Linked DNA regions of Xenopus tropicalis. The protein of the gene in region 1 interacts with the protein of each later gene in a pairwise test. Links are inferred from orthologs where the notes say so. Each region holds a gene or a part of one and is shown on either strand. Other genes may lie near its edges.

What was found. The genes of interacting proteins can lie anywhere in the genome.
Region 2: the proteins of per2 (region 1) and csnk1d interact in binary tests that used the Homo sapiens proteins (3 or more experiments, as listed by UniProt). The link is inferred for Xenopus tropicalis from reciprocal best matches to the Homo sapiens genes PER2 and CSNK1D.
Region 3: the proteins of per2 (region 1) and cry1 interact in a two-hybrid assay, tested with the Homo sapiens proteins (5 studies listed by BioGRID, with this or other methods). The link is inferred for Xenopus tropicalis from reciprocal best matches to the Homo sapiens genes PER2 and CRY1.

What each region holds. Positions count from the first base shown.
Region 1 is NC_030681.2:128,121,249-128,125,305, forward strand, and holds the start of per2 (period circadian protein homolog 2), read right to left. Parts: upstream 2,924-4,057; 5' UTR 2,695-2,923; intron 2,644-2,694; exon of another isoform or gene 2,549-2,643; intron 1-2,548. UniProt on the Homo sapiens protein: Transcriptional repressor which forms a core component of the circadian clock.
Region 2 is NC_030686.2:23,251,878-23,256,198, forward strand, and holds the start of csnk1d (casein kinase I), read right to left. Parts: upstream 2,876-4,321; 5' UTR 2,657-2,875; coding exon 2,581-2,656; intron 1-2,580. UniProt on the Homo sapiens protein: Essential serine/threonine-protein kinase that regulates diverse cellular growth and survival processes including Wnt signaling, DNA repair and circadian rhythms. It can phosphorylate a large number of proteins.
Region 3 is NC_030679.2:15,523,249-15,527,613, reverse strand, and holds the start of cry1 (cryptochrome-1), read right to left. Parts: upstream 2,876-4,365; 5' UTR 2,369-2,875; coding exon 2,211-2,368; intron 1-2,210.

The DNA.
Region 1 (4,057 bases):
CTCCCATTGTAAATCTAAATACCCAGCTTACACTTCCCATTAACCCATAAAGTGGCAACATTTGTTGTAATGAAGGTATTTCTAATATTTTAAAGAAAATCTTATATACAAATCTTGATAGAGTGTGAATAGTATGGTTTTGGCACCAGAAAAATCTTTACAATATGTCCAAGGATCACATGAATATCACGCATGCCTCTATGCAAGAAGCTGATGAGCAGAACATCAGTTGTGTGTATCTGCATCACCTCACAGCACCAATATGGGACACTATTCTAACAGTGACAAGCAACACAGGTGAATGCATACACAATACAGCATCTCCAATACCCCACCCCCAATCATTCAACTCCTATATCCTATAACAACTACAACTATCTCTTTCCAGTAATCATGGAGACACTCCACATTAGTCCTTTAAGTAGCTTCAGGATATTCACACAAAAACAAGCTGTGACCCATGTATTAATACAAAATCATTTGTTTTACCACCGTTAGGTTCAGGACATTGTATTGTTGGTCCAGATAAGGCAAGTAACACGTTACACATGTGAAGCATATATAGGTATGGGACCTGTTATTCAGAATGCTCGGTATCTGGGGTTTTACACATAAGGGGTCTTTCTATAATTTGGATCTCCATTCTTTAAGTATACTAAAAGCATTTAACAACCCCAACAGGATTGTTTTGCCTCCCAAAATAATTAAGTATCTTAGTTAGGATCAAGCACAAGGTACTGTTTTATTTTTACAGGGAAATGAGATTTGCTTAAAATGGAGTTTACATATAGATAGGTAGGTAGATATATATAGATACAGAATGCATCATGAAAAGAACAGGACAATTTGATACAGATAAAACACTCTTCATCAAATAACACATAATCTAGTTTCTCCATCTCCATCTTGGTAATTTCTTAGATGTAGAAATCATCTGTAGTTCACATTATTCCTATTCTGCACTTTACCCCTTTAACAACCTTATACTACCGGTACCATGCACTAGTGGTTATTTAAATGCCTATTAGGAGAGCAGTATTCCCATACTGACAATTAACAGGCAATGAGTATGTGTACGTACAAGTAACTAAGCACTTTCTGAGTACAGCATGAGCACCACCATCCGTTCATCTCCCACAGCTTAGCAACGCATGATAATGACCAGTGGTAGCCAACTTGTTGCTATAGCGAGTCAAAATGCCTAGAAACCCTCCTTGAATCACTAGGGTGGTTACTCCTGATACAATCCATAAGCAAAATATGTATTCTTTGCAATTTCTTTATGCATACCTGATCTCCACAAATATAATTTTGTGCTTAAAAAGACGTATTACCAGTAAATCACAAAGTTCCAGGAATATGGCAATACTTATCCCCAACTGCAGGAAGACTGAAGCACCACTCAACAAGACGAACGAATACAGTTAGCAGAAGACAAGAATACAATAAGGGTTTTATAGAAGGGGGAAAAAAGGGCCAACTAGATATTATCTGCAGTCGCTTTTATGCCTGTACTCCAATACTCTGCCTTGTTTTTTCTGAATGCCCTGCTTCTCTATGGATGTGGTGTTACACAAGCCTAGAGCCGTGCGTGTAATGTGCAGCCTTAAATAGGTCATTCGCTGACATTCACAAGTGCCACAGCACTGGGGCTGAGAGCTGCACATTGCTATAGTCAGGGTGCTGAACTAAATAAGAAAACCCTAGATATAATAGATAATTAGTACATAGGTCGGTATGTATTATGCATCCATTATATTAAAGTAGACATAATAACCATTAGCAGATGCATTATAATAACACTGGCACATAAAAAACCTGAATAAGAATACGGAGTGCCAACTCGAACAAGGGTTTGGGGACTCTTATTAAAGAAAGATGAATCTATGTGATTCTATTACTCTATATAATGTGTAAATGGCTCCATATTTAAAGAATCTTTGGAAATCGAAATGCGCTTATTAAAGCACTTATGGAGATGCCACCACGCTGGTGTTGGAAAGACAGGGGCTGGCAGTAAAGGTAGGCTACAGATCATCTAGCGGCATATAGATAAATGAGAGAAGCTCAACCTGGAGCCCGACAGCTGTTGCTGAACTACAACTCACAAATACAATACCAATCCAGTAAACATAATTTGGTGTTGTAGAGGGTACTGTACCCTGTTAGCCATAGATCAAAAACAGATAACCTAGTGTAAGTGATACCTATTATTGACTAATTTAGTAGAATAAAAAAATGCTAGCTTTCAAGTTATGTGCCTGCTTCAGGCAAAGTATAATGTAACAATATTACACCTCTTGAAGCACTGACCTAAGCTGTTCAGATTGTATTTTATATTCCAATACATTAGCTAATATACTAATAGGAACTTACTCCATATTTTGCAGTAAGCCAAATTCACGCTGGACTAGCCAGCCCATATTAATAATACTGCACAATGCAATAACCATAACAGTATATGGCATGCAGAATACAAGCTACAGGCACAGATATATAAGCTTATACTGTATGCAGAGACAGGACAGAGAAATACATAAGAACTCACATATAATATTCCTTATAAAGAGAAGGAATCCATTCATATCATGCAGGGGCCAGGGTTGCAGAACGATAACTCCCAGCACTCCCAGAGAGCCGCTGTAGCGCAAGTTATAGTTAAACTAGGGACTCAGGCTGAACTATAGCACTCACCAATCTGCCGGCATTCCGGGATATGTCCTAATGCGCGATAGCAGCAATTCCTAGTGCAGCTGACAGCTGTTCCCTACACGATTCGTTTATAGAAAGCTTCCTAATTTTTAATTGATTCTTGGGTACTTCCGGTCCCTGGCCCCTCGGTAAAGTGCCGGTGACGTTATAATTCAATTCTCCAGTCTTCGCTTTACTTCGGCTTCACACAGATCTCAACGTGAGCAAAGCAATGGATCCGCCCCCGCGAAAAGCCAATTGGCTGCATCCCAAAAAGTCCTACCTTTTCTCCTCGATGATTGGTAGCAGGTCAATACATCCCCGCCCTCTGCATGGGGTTCCGCCTTCTGTCCGCTTTGATTGGTGAAAGCACTTATCATTCCAAAAAAGGCGAAGCCTGATTGGAAGGAGGCGGGGCCGAGCTCATTGCATAAGATTCACGTGGAAACTCACGAGTGGCAGAACTTGTAACGCTGTGCGTTTTTGTGCGTCTGTTTGTGTCTGTGCAGTGTGTTTGTGTGTCTGTTTGTGTTTGTGCAGTGTGTTTGTGTCTGTGCAGTGTGTGTTCCTGTGCCGTGCTAATCCTGTTAGCAGAACTACATGTCCCAGCATTCTTCAGAAGGCAACGCCAACTCTGCCCATTCTGTGCAGCACAGTTGCTCCTTGGTTGACAGATCGCTGACTGCGGCTAATGGGATAATTTTTTACCCTAAAATTACATTTTTGTTTAGTTTGAAACTGGAGAGCTCCCCAGAAATGTAGCATAATAATAAATACTATTTGTACCTCTTGTTGCAGTTAACCAATTGGGGGCTGTGGACTAATAACTATTATTATGAATGCTAGGCTATGGCACACAGTTTTTCAGCCAGGGCTAGGCTTGTCACCTTTCCTTTCCCTCAGGATTTTAAAAGAGAGGAGGAGAGGGGTGTAGCTGGTATGAGTGGGGCAGCGCCAGGCCAAGCATTACTGGTGCCTTTGGTACTGCTGCCCCCACATGCCCCTCACTGGCCTAACCCACCCCTATTGCCACTTGGTCCATGCAGTACCCCACAGCTTTCTGCTGGCTCCCCCATCCCTGTTTGCTTGCTTACTCCCTCTCACTCAAGCTGCACCCTTCAACAACTGCCCCCAAGGCACATGCATTGCCTGTCTACACCTAGGTCCCACCCTGAACAGAAAGGCAGTAAACTGCAGATTTATTGACAACTGCAGTGTCAGACTGGGGTGCCAAGGGCCCACCAGATAACCTTAGACCAGGGGTGGCCAGACTCGGTCTAGTCGCGATCGACCGGACCGATGCGGATGTGAGGCGTGCGTATGTACACGACACAGCGTACATATGCAATCACGGAGCACTTCCGCA
Region 2 (4,321 bases), on another chromosome or scaffold:
TCAGTGTGACACCACAGGGCTCACTTTGTGACTAATAATGCATCTGTTGGTGAGAACACAACATGTAGTTATATGGACACAAATATATTTACAGTCCTGGGATAGTTTGACATTTTTAGAGACACACACAATATCCTCTTTACATTATAAACCAAGTGCATAATGGTCCCCATTTACCATAATGTGTAAAACGATAAAAAAACGGTGTGTGGTTTATTTTACTCCATCCGAACGACATGCCAAATTACGCCATTATTATTGATTCCATTATTTCACACCTTGTGTTATCAGTCAATGGGAAAAATGTAAGCGTCAAGTAAGGTCTTGCAGAAGTTGTTGTGGCAAAAAAAAAAATCTCCCCCCAAAGAGACATATTTTACCATATCAAGTGGGTGCTTAGGTTTTTGGATTATTATACAGAGCTACACGGTCACTAAAAATCGATACACAACTTGATAAATTACATAATTTTTTACACGCGACATCTGGTTTATTTGTTCGCCTTCACACAGTATGATAAATAGGCCCTGTCGTGTCATATACCACAATATGGTGAAGTGGGAAGTACAATGCTAAACGATACAGGGTTCTACACATGTAAATGATGTATGGGTTCCCCCACAGACAAACCCACTTGTCTCTAGAAGAACAATTACCTACCTATATTATAGACTACCCTGGGCTGCAGAATTGTTCAGCCTACTGCTGAAGCCTTTCTAACCAAAATGTCAAAATAATTTCTCTCTATTATTGGCCTGCTCTTAACAGCCCAATCCCAACACTATCTTTATATGATGCAGCTAGTTCCCTAGGGGGCTACAGTAGATAGGTTCACATTGGGTGACCTGATGAACTGCAGAGCCCCAGCCAGTCCTGATATATACCACAAACATCTCAATATTTTACTGATTTGCATTTGTAGATGGAAGGCTTTTAAGGAAGGAAAAACACATTTGGCGTCTAGAATCCCTGGGAACTCCCAGTGACAGAGCCTAAACCCAATGTTTCGGCTACAGTATCAAGGTTTAAGCCGGGAATTACATTGCCCACAAAAATTATATTTTAAGAAATCGTATGGGTTTAAAAGGACACAAACATGTCAGATTATAATACCAGGCATGCACCAAATACCAGAATCGGTAGTTGGAATCCCAGACATTTTTAGCAGGATTCGGCCAAACCGGATCCACACCATATGTATTGAAAAAAAAGTGGTCACACACTACATCAGCATTTTTTCCCTCATTTACTGCAATTTCCTTTTCTATGTTCAGTTCAGTATTCAGCTGAATCCATACACAAGGAATATGTATAATTTGCAATACTCATTGCCGAGTCCAATCTGCTTGTCTATAATCGGAAGAATGGGTTGTTTTTATGGACAAGCAGCCACACACATGATCATGCACAGTGCTAGGCCTATAAAGGTCTCTGCCATTGGTGCCATTGTATGCAATGATGAATTGCACTTTATAATATAGCAATCTGACAGACAAATCTGGGTATGGATGATGCCAGGAAAAAACTACATGTCTATATGTATATCATGCATATGTAAAGTATAGCATAAGGCTGTTTTTCATGGTTTGGCGTAGGGCCCCAGCTCCAGTGACAGCAAACTTGAATTATACAGCATACAATAACAATTCTATTCATCCTACTTGGTGGGTTAAGGCCCTCGTCCTGTAACAGCAATGTAATACCCCCGTGCACAAAGCGAGGTCCATAAAAAATGTTTTTCCTGAGATGAGGATGAAACTTGACTGGCCTGCACCTCAACCCAATTAGATATGGTGGGGGGACTGGGAACACCAAGACCAGTGCCACTAATGCTCTTATGGTTAAATGAAAGCAAATACAGTCTCCAATATTCCTCTGTACTTTAGTTAAAAGCCCTCCTAAAAACAGCCTGGTGAAGATGCCCTTTAAAAGAATCTTATTGTAAGATGCAAGGATCTAGAATTGGAGATGGGAAAGGCTGGACTGTATCTCCATAGTAATGAGGTAGTACACTCTGCCACTAAATATATCACTATCAGCTCTATTGTAAAGACAAAACACTAGAGTAAAACATGTAATCTCTTACTGGGCCTGTCTAATAACCCCATAAGGTTCTAACCCACCATCTTTCCTGCACATAGTAGACACAAATCCTTATAAAAAGAAAGGTACCATTTTAGTGTGTCATTTCCATCAACCCCCCCCCCCCCCTCTCCTCCCCCAGACTATATGCCAGCTGCCTACCACAGCCCCCAGGTCTAATACAGTATATTGGGGCCAGGATTACACCCCAGCTGGCAGAAACCCCGTTGTTCTACTGTATGCCTTTACATTGTGGGGCGGCAAGCTTAGTCTCTCCCATAGCTCTCAGCTGAGACTGTAGCATTGCTTAGTCTCTCCCATAGCTCTCAGCTGAGACTGTACCATTGCTTAGTCTCTCCCATAGCTCTCAGCTGAGACTGTACCATTGCTTAGTCTCTCCCATAGCTCTCAGAAGAGACTGTACCATTTCGTAAGGGGAAGGGGTAAAGAGCCAAGGTTCATGTTAAACAGTCCTACACTTATAAATTATCTTCTTACCCAAATATATGTCACCGAATGAGCCGCTGCCGATCTTTCGACCCAACCGATACCTGTTTCCGACTCTCAACTCCATCCTGCCGTGCAGGCCCTTTCCTCCTTCCCCAGCTATCAGTCTCTAAAGCCCGGGGCACTTTTCACCATCAATTTACGTTTTCCATCCACTACTAGGGAGCATAAAATAGTGCCGGTACGATAGATCAAAGAGCGCTCTCTGTGTTCCTTTCACTTCCGCGCTCCCGGGAAGCCTTAAAACGTAGGATTTAGGCGGATTATACCGAGTACTTAGGCCGATTCCAACAAACAAACCTGAGAGAGGCTGTCACCGAAACTCGTGACGTCACTCTACCTAGCAACAAACTAGCGGCGCTGGGAAGGAGGAGCGTAATGGGGGTCACGGAATCACATGATCAGCTGATGAACTCGATTTTCGCAGTCATTTAATTTAATGGTCTAGGTTAGGTTTTCTTACATACAAACTTGAGAGAGAAAAAAGGGTCAGTACAACAGCAAACGTTATTAAAAAAGAGAGGTTTTGATCAGTTACAAATCTCTGTTGTTGCAGGCATACGTGACCCCGCAATTTGCCAAAGTCGCCTTGAGAGGAAACTTTGGGCGACTTAGGCAAATCGCTGTGCCGCGTATGCCATCCCACCGGCGATTTACATTCTAGCCTGTGGGATGGCATTGCGGGGAGATTAATTGCCTGCGACAACAAAGATTTGACGCCCGGCGACTTATCTCCCAGTGTGTCACTGCCCTTAATGTTAATTTTAAAACAAACGCTTAATCACTGGTTGTACACTGAGCACAAAATTTAAGAAAATATCCAGTTTTAAAAATTGCTTTCTTTTTCATTGTTATATAAAAGATATTAAAGGGAAAGTATACCTTTGCTAAAAATTAGCATAATGAATAGAACTTGTGTTAAAAATAGATTCTGCCTGCCTATAATAATTTCCCATTTTTGCCATTCTAATGTACTCATTTAAATTTTTTTTTTTTTTTTCACTGATTGCCATTATAACATAGTAACATAGTAAGTTAGGTTGAAAAAAGACATACGTCCACCACATTCAACCATAATGCCTATACAGTATATAACCTGCCTAACTGCTAGTTGATCCAGAGGAAGGCAAAAAACCCCATCTGAAGCCTCTCTAATTTGCCTCAGAGGGGAAAAAATTCCTTCCTGACTCCAAGATGGCAATCGGACCAGTCCCTGGATCAACCAGTACTAAGAGCTATCTCCCATAACCCTGTATTCCCTCACTTGCTAAAAAGTCATCCAACCCCTTCTAAAAGCTATATAATGTATCAGCCAGTACTACTGGTTCAGGGAGGGATTTCCGCAACTTCACAGCTCTTACTGTAAAATACCTCTCCAAATATTTAACTAAAAACCCCCCTTCTTAACGGAGTGGGTTGCCCTTTGTTTTTGGAAAGTACACATTTACCTGAATTCAAAATAGGTCTTTCTATTCTAAAATACCAAGCCCCAAAGCTTCCATTTTGCAGCATCTTATTTTCTACAGGTAACCATATAAAACACCCTAAATATGGACCCCACAGGTCTACTGAACAGTTTGATGCCCACTGTGCATAGACTTATCAAAGCACATGGCACTTAGAGACCCCAAAGCTTTCCTACAATTAGCTTTTTTTATGACTTTTCGAAAACATTGTCACAGAATTGCTTACATACAATGACACATCACCCCAAATATGAATGCCAGAGGTG
Region 3 (4,365 bases), on another chromosome or scaffold:
GGCTGTACCCTGAACTTCCATAGTCACCAAGGTCTTGTTGCACCTCATTGTCTCAGATACTGAATGTGTGCCACCATAAAAATACATCTATAATAATAATTTATTTAAATAAACATAATAAATATATTACAAAGACTGCTGTACATTCAACCTTTACATAAGCTCCAAGCAAGGGCAATAATGGCACTAATGTATGAAATAGATCAATGTATGAAGGCCCCCTTGGCATCTGCTGGATTCCTACAAAAGCCTCCCACAATGAATGGCCTTTAGTACATAGCACGTCATGCAATGCGTCAATGGATATAGTAAAAGAGCTGCCTGATTCTGTATAGGGGAAGCAAGCATGCACACATTTATTAGAAATAGAGAATTATGATGGGTAACATAGGGATATGCAATCTGATAAGAATATGCAGTTATTTAGCACAGAAACAACATTTGTGTGTTTTTAAGGCCAAACACACCATCTGCCTGCAAATTTTCTCCTGCGATACCATCTATGTGCATCAGGCAAAACAATAATCGTTTACATTTGTCTATATGCTCTACAGTAAATGCTCAATAAAAAAGGCATAATACAGCCTTTTTTATCAAGTAAGACAATAAGACAGCATTCTTGGTTTCCACAAAACCACAATGTAATGAACACCGCTACCCTAGAGGTAGTGTTAAGCTAGACATACACAGTAAGATCCACTCTTCTGGCAAGGTCGCCATTACCTGATTTGGACACCAAAGTGCTGGGCCATATCATATTACAAGATTTAAATGACTGGCTCATAATGGGAGCCACAGGAGACCTGTTAGGAGAGGACTGCAGCACCAACACTGGAGAGGAACTTGCTCAATGGGATTTTTAAAATGAGCAGGTCATCAGGAGGACCCATACACAAGCCAGTAAGCTGCCAACTTAGTGTGGAGTTGTGTTGGCAGCTATACTGACCTTGTGCCCAGCTTAAGGTCCCATTTCATATTTACCCAATAAGAACCATGTTCTTAATGATACCCCCTGTATCCACCAACATTCCTCAACACTTGTGAATGAGTGCCAGGCCCAGACTGTCAATCTGTGGATTCTGGCAGATTCCAGAGGGGCTGCTATAAGATGCCATAGACAGTCACTATTCAGTGGGCTGATGACGGGTGCTGTATGGGCCTGTGTACTTTAAATGACAGGGCCAATTTTGACTCCCAGTCTGGGGACCTGATGAGCCCCACAATACATTGCATATTTCTAAAGATGTAATTATTTGAGCCCAGTTCCTTTCAGCCAACCAACAACCATTACCAGAAAATGTTATGCCAGCTTACATGAAACAAGGAAGAACGAAGCCAACTTAAGGCACCAAGCCAACTAAAATACATACTTTCCATACACGTGTTTAGAAGGCAGCAGAATTGATACAGCAGTATCTCTAGTTGAGGCAACAGTTCCCAACATGACATTGGTGTTAGACATTACGTAAATGTGCTATTTTGCCATATTGTAATAATTATGAAGGTTATAGTCCTTCAGCAGAGCCTCTTGAACACTGCATATCTTTCTATAGACTCTGGGTACCACATAAATACCTTCCAAAGTCTAACAAGCCAGGGTCAACTTAACATCACCAGACTTGCCCTTTAGACTACTGTAATAACGTCCACAAGTCATCACAGGGAACTCTTGGGGGCCAACTGGACATAGAAGAACCCCATTACAGCCGCCATATAGTTGTTTTGTAACATCAATGACTGACCTAGACAAGTGTCATTGACCCTGTTTACTATAAGCTACAGAGAAGGCACTTAAAAAAGCACTTGCCCATTAGCCTAAAAAATCGGCTAGCCCTGAAAAAAACAGCTAGCCCTGAACAAGTGGTAGACTACATACACTTTATTTCCCCTTAATATTTGGTGCTCCCATTGCCATATTAATGAGGAGGGGTGCATCTAAGCCATCATTTTTGGACTCAGATGACTACAGAATTTCCCACAAAAACTTGGCAGACCATACTATAAAATTACATAGGAAAATGTGTCTCTTTAGTTCTAGTTTTTAAAGTTGCATGACTTGATTCAGTTTGGCCAGAGGAATCACTATTAGCTAAATTCAGCAACAATGAATGGGATGATTTTATTGTAGCCCTGCTATTCCGGGTCTGACCCCAGATAGTTGACCCAATACGGACAAACAGAACCACCAACTTCCATCCGGGCACTCTTACCTCCACCTGTTGATTCCCACATTGGAAGATCCAGCAAACCAGGGATCGAGGATATAGACACATCTGATAGTATCAGCCCCTTGGATACATTCCCGCAGAGCTGGGTTGTCATGGAGTCTCAAGCCCTTCCGAAACCAGTGCACAGCATTCACCCCCATCTTTCCAGATACCCCAGCAAAATAAAAAATGTAAAAATTCCAATCAGGGGAAAAAAATGATAAACCCACACCAAATAATTCAAATGAAGATCAAGTCCAGACCAGGGTCATAATGTTACAGGAATTTGGGTAGGGGTGGGGAAAGTAGACACGGGGGGGCAATCACTAATTGTTGTTTCAGCCTCTGCGCCCCTGTGGGGAAGGGATGCACCGGAGAGATAGTGAGAATAAATGGGAAGACCGCAGGGACGTTTGTAACATGGTGCGAGTACAGGGAAGGAGTAGATCAGTTCCACGCAGTTCCGAAAGGGAGTAAAGACCGACCGAGAAGTTAGCCTTCCCAAAACCCTGCCACCGTATCCGGCTCCCTCAGCCAAGTGCGTATAGAGCCTCAGACCACACCACACCACACATCCCTCAGGCCACGCCCCACTCCTACACTCCGCTAGCTCATTGGTTCCACAACGTCAAGTGTCTCATCACAGCTCACGTTTCTGCAGTGTGCTCGCTGAGGGAATGCGTTCTGGGCGCGTCGCAGTAGTTATATAACCTTCTTCACCCGGATTCGTACGGCGTTTCCACCGGCACTGCTGCTCCCCGTGTAAGCGGGTACACAAAACCGATTATTGCGCGTACCCTCCGCTGGATTTGTGCAGACTTGCCGGTGACCGAATCCCCGCCCCCTTAGCTATAGGGGAGGAGCTCTGCCTTAGATTGGCCGCCCCTCGCAAGTACCCGGATAGTCACGTTGACTAGCGGCTTGGTGTTACGAGGAAAAGTGAGCGCGCAACCGCAGGGGATTGTGGGCAACAGGGCTGACTGGGGTTGGTTTATTTTCCCGCAAGTTGTCAAAAAAAGTGCCCTTCTGGGTGTTTGAGACCGAGAGTTCGGTCAGTGTCCGCCGCAGTTACAGCTAATCCGCCATTGGCGGCTAATCCCCCCGTGTCCCAGACACTGACTAATCTTCTTGCGAGGGTCGCGGCCGCCTGCTGGCGGCTATAAGTAGCTCAGCGGCTGCACAGTTATATAACGCGTCTACTTCGGTCATTCAGGCCACACGTGCCCTATATATGGCAACTGCGGATGCGAAATAAACATGTCACAGGGGGACAGGCTGGAATTAGCCGCTAATAAGGCTTTGTGGTGCTTTATGCGGAACAATGGGCTACAAAGTACTTGTGTGGATAAATAACCTGTCCCTGTGCCACGATATTGAGCCTATTGGTAGTTTGCAATTTGTATTATTATTTTACAATTATAAGAAAATTATTTTACAGTGATATTTTCTAGGCCCAATACCTTCTAAACAGGCTATTTCTCTATACAAGTACATGTATATATACACACATATGCAATAGAGAAATGGACACAGACTGCTGAGTGCCCTGTTGGTTTTACTATATCAATGGTTCTCAACCTTCCTAATGCCACGACCCTTTAAAGAAGGAAAGGCTAAGTCACTTGGGGACATTAATCGCTTACCTTGTACCCCGGGCTGGTGCCCCTGTTAGGAGAAAACTGCACCAGCCCGGGGTACCTGTAGCGAGCGCTTCCTTCTTCTGCGGCAAAATCCCTGGGCCGGCGCATGCGCAGTAGAGCGATAAGCTGACTTTGTTGTTAAAGTTCGGCTTTTCACTCTAATGCGCAAGCGTGGAAGAAGGAAGCGCTTGCAGCTACCCTGGGCTGGTGCTGTTCTCTTAACGGGCACCAGCCCGGGGTAGAAGGTAAGCGATTAGTCACTTGGGGGTGCCTAACATTTTGGCACCCCCAAGTGACTTAGGCTTACCTTCTCCTTTAATACAGTTCCTCATGTTGTGGTGACCCCCAACCATAAAATTATTCCTAAGACCATCGGAAATATGTGTTATTTCTTAGGCGACCCCTGTAAAAAGGGTTATTCGACCCCCAAAGGGGTCCCGACCCACAGGTTGACAACCGCTGGACTATATAGTTGTGAAAAATGTCTTGTTCCCAAAATTTAAAGGGGACCTGTCACC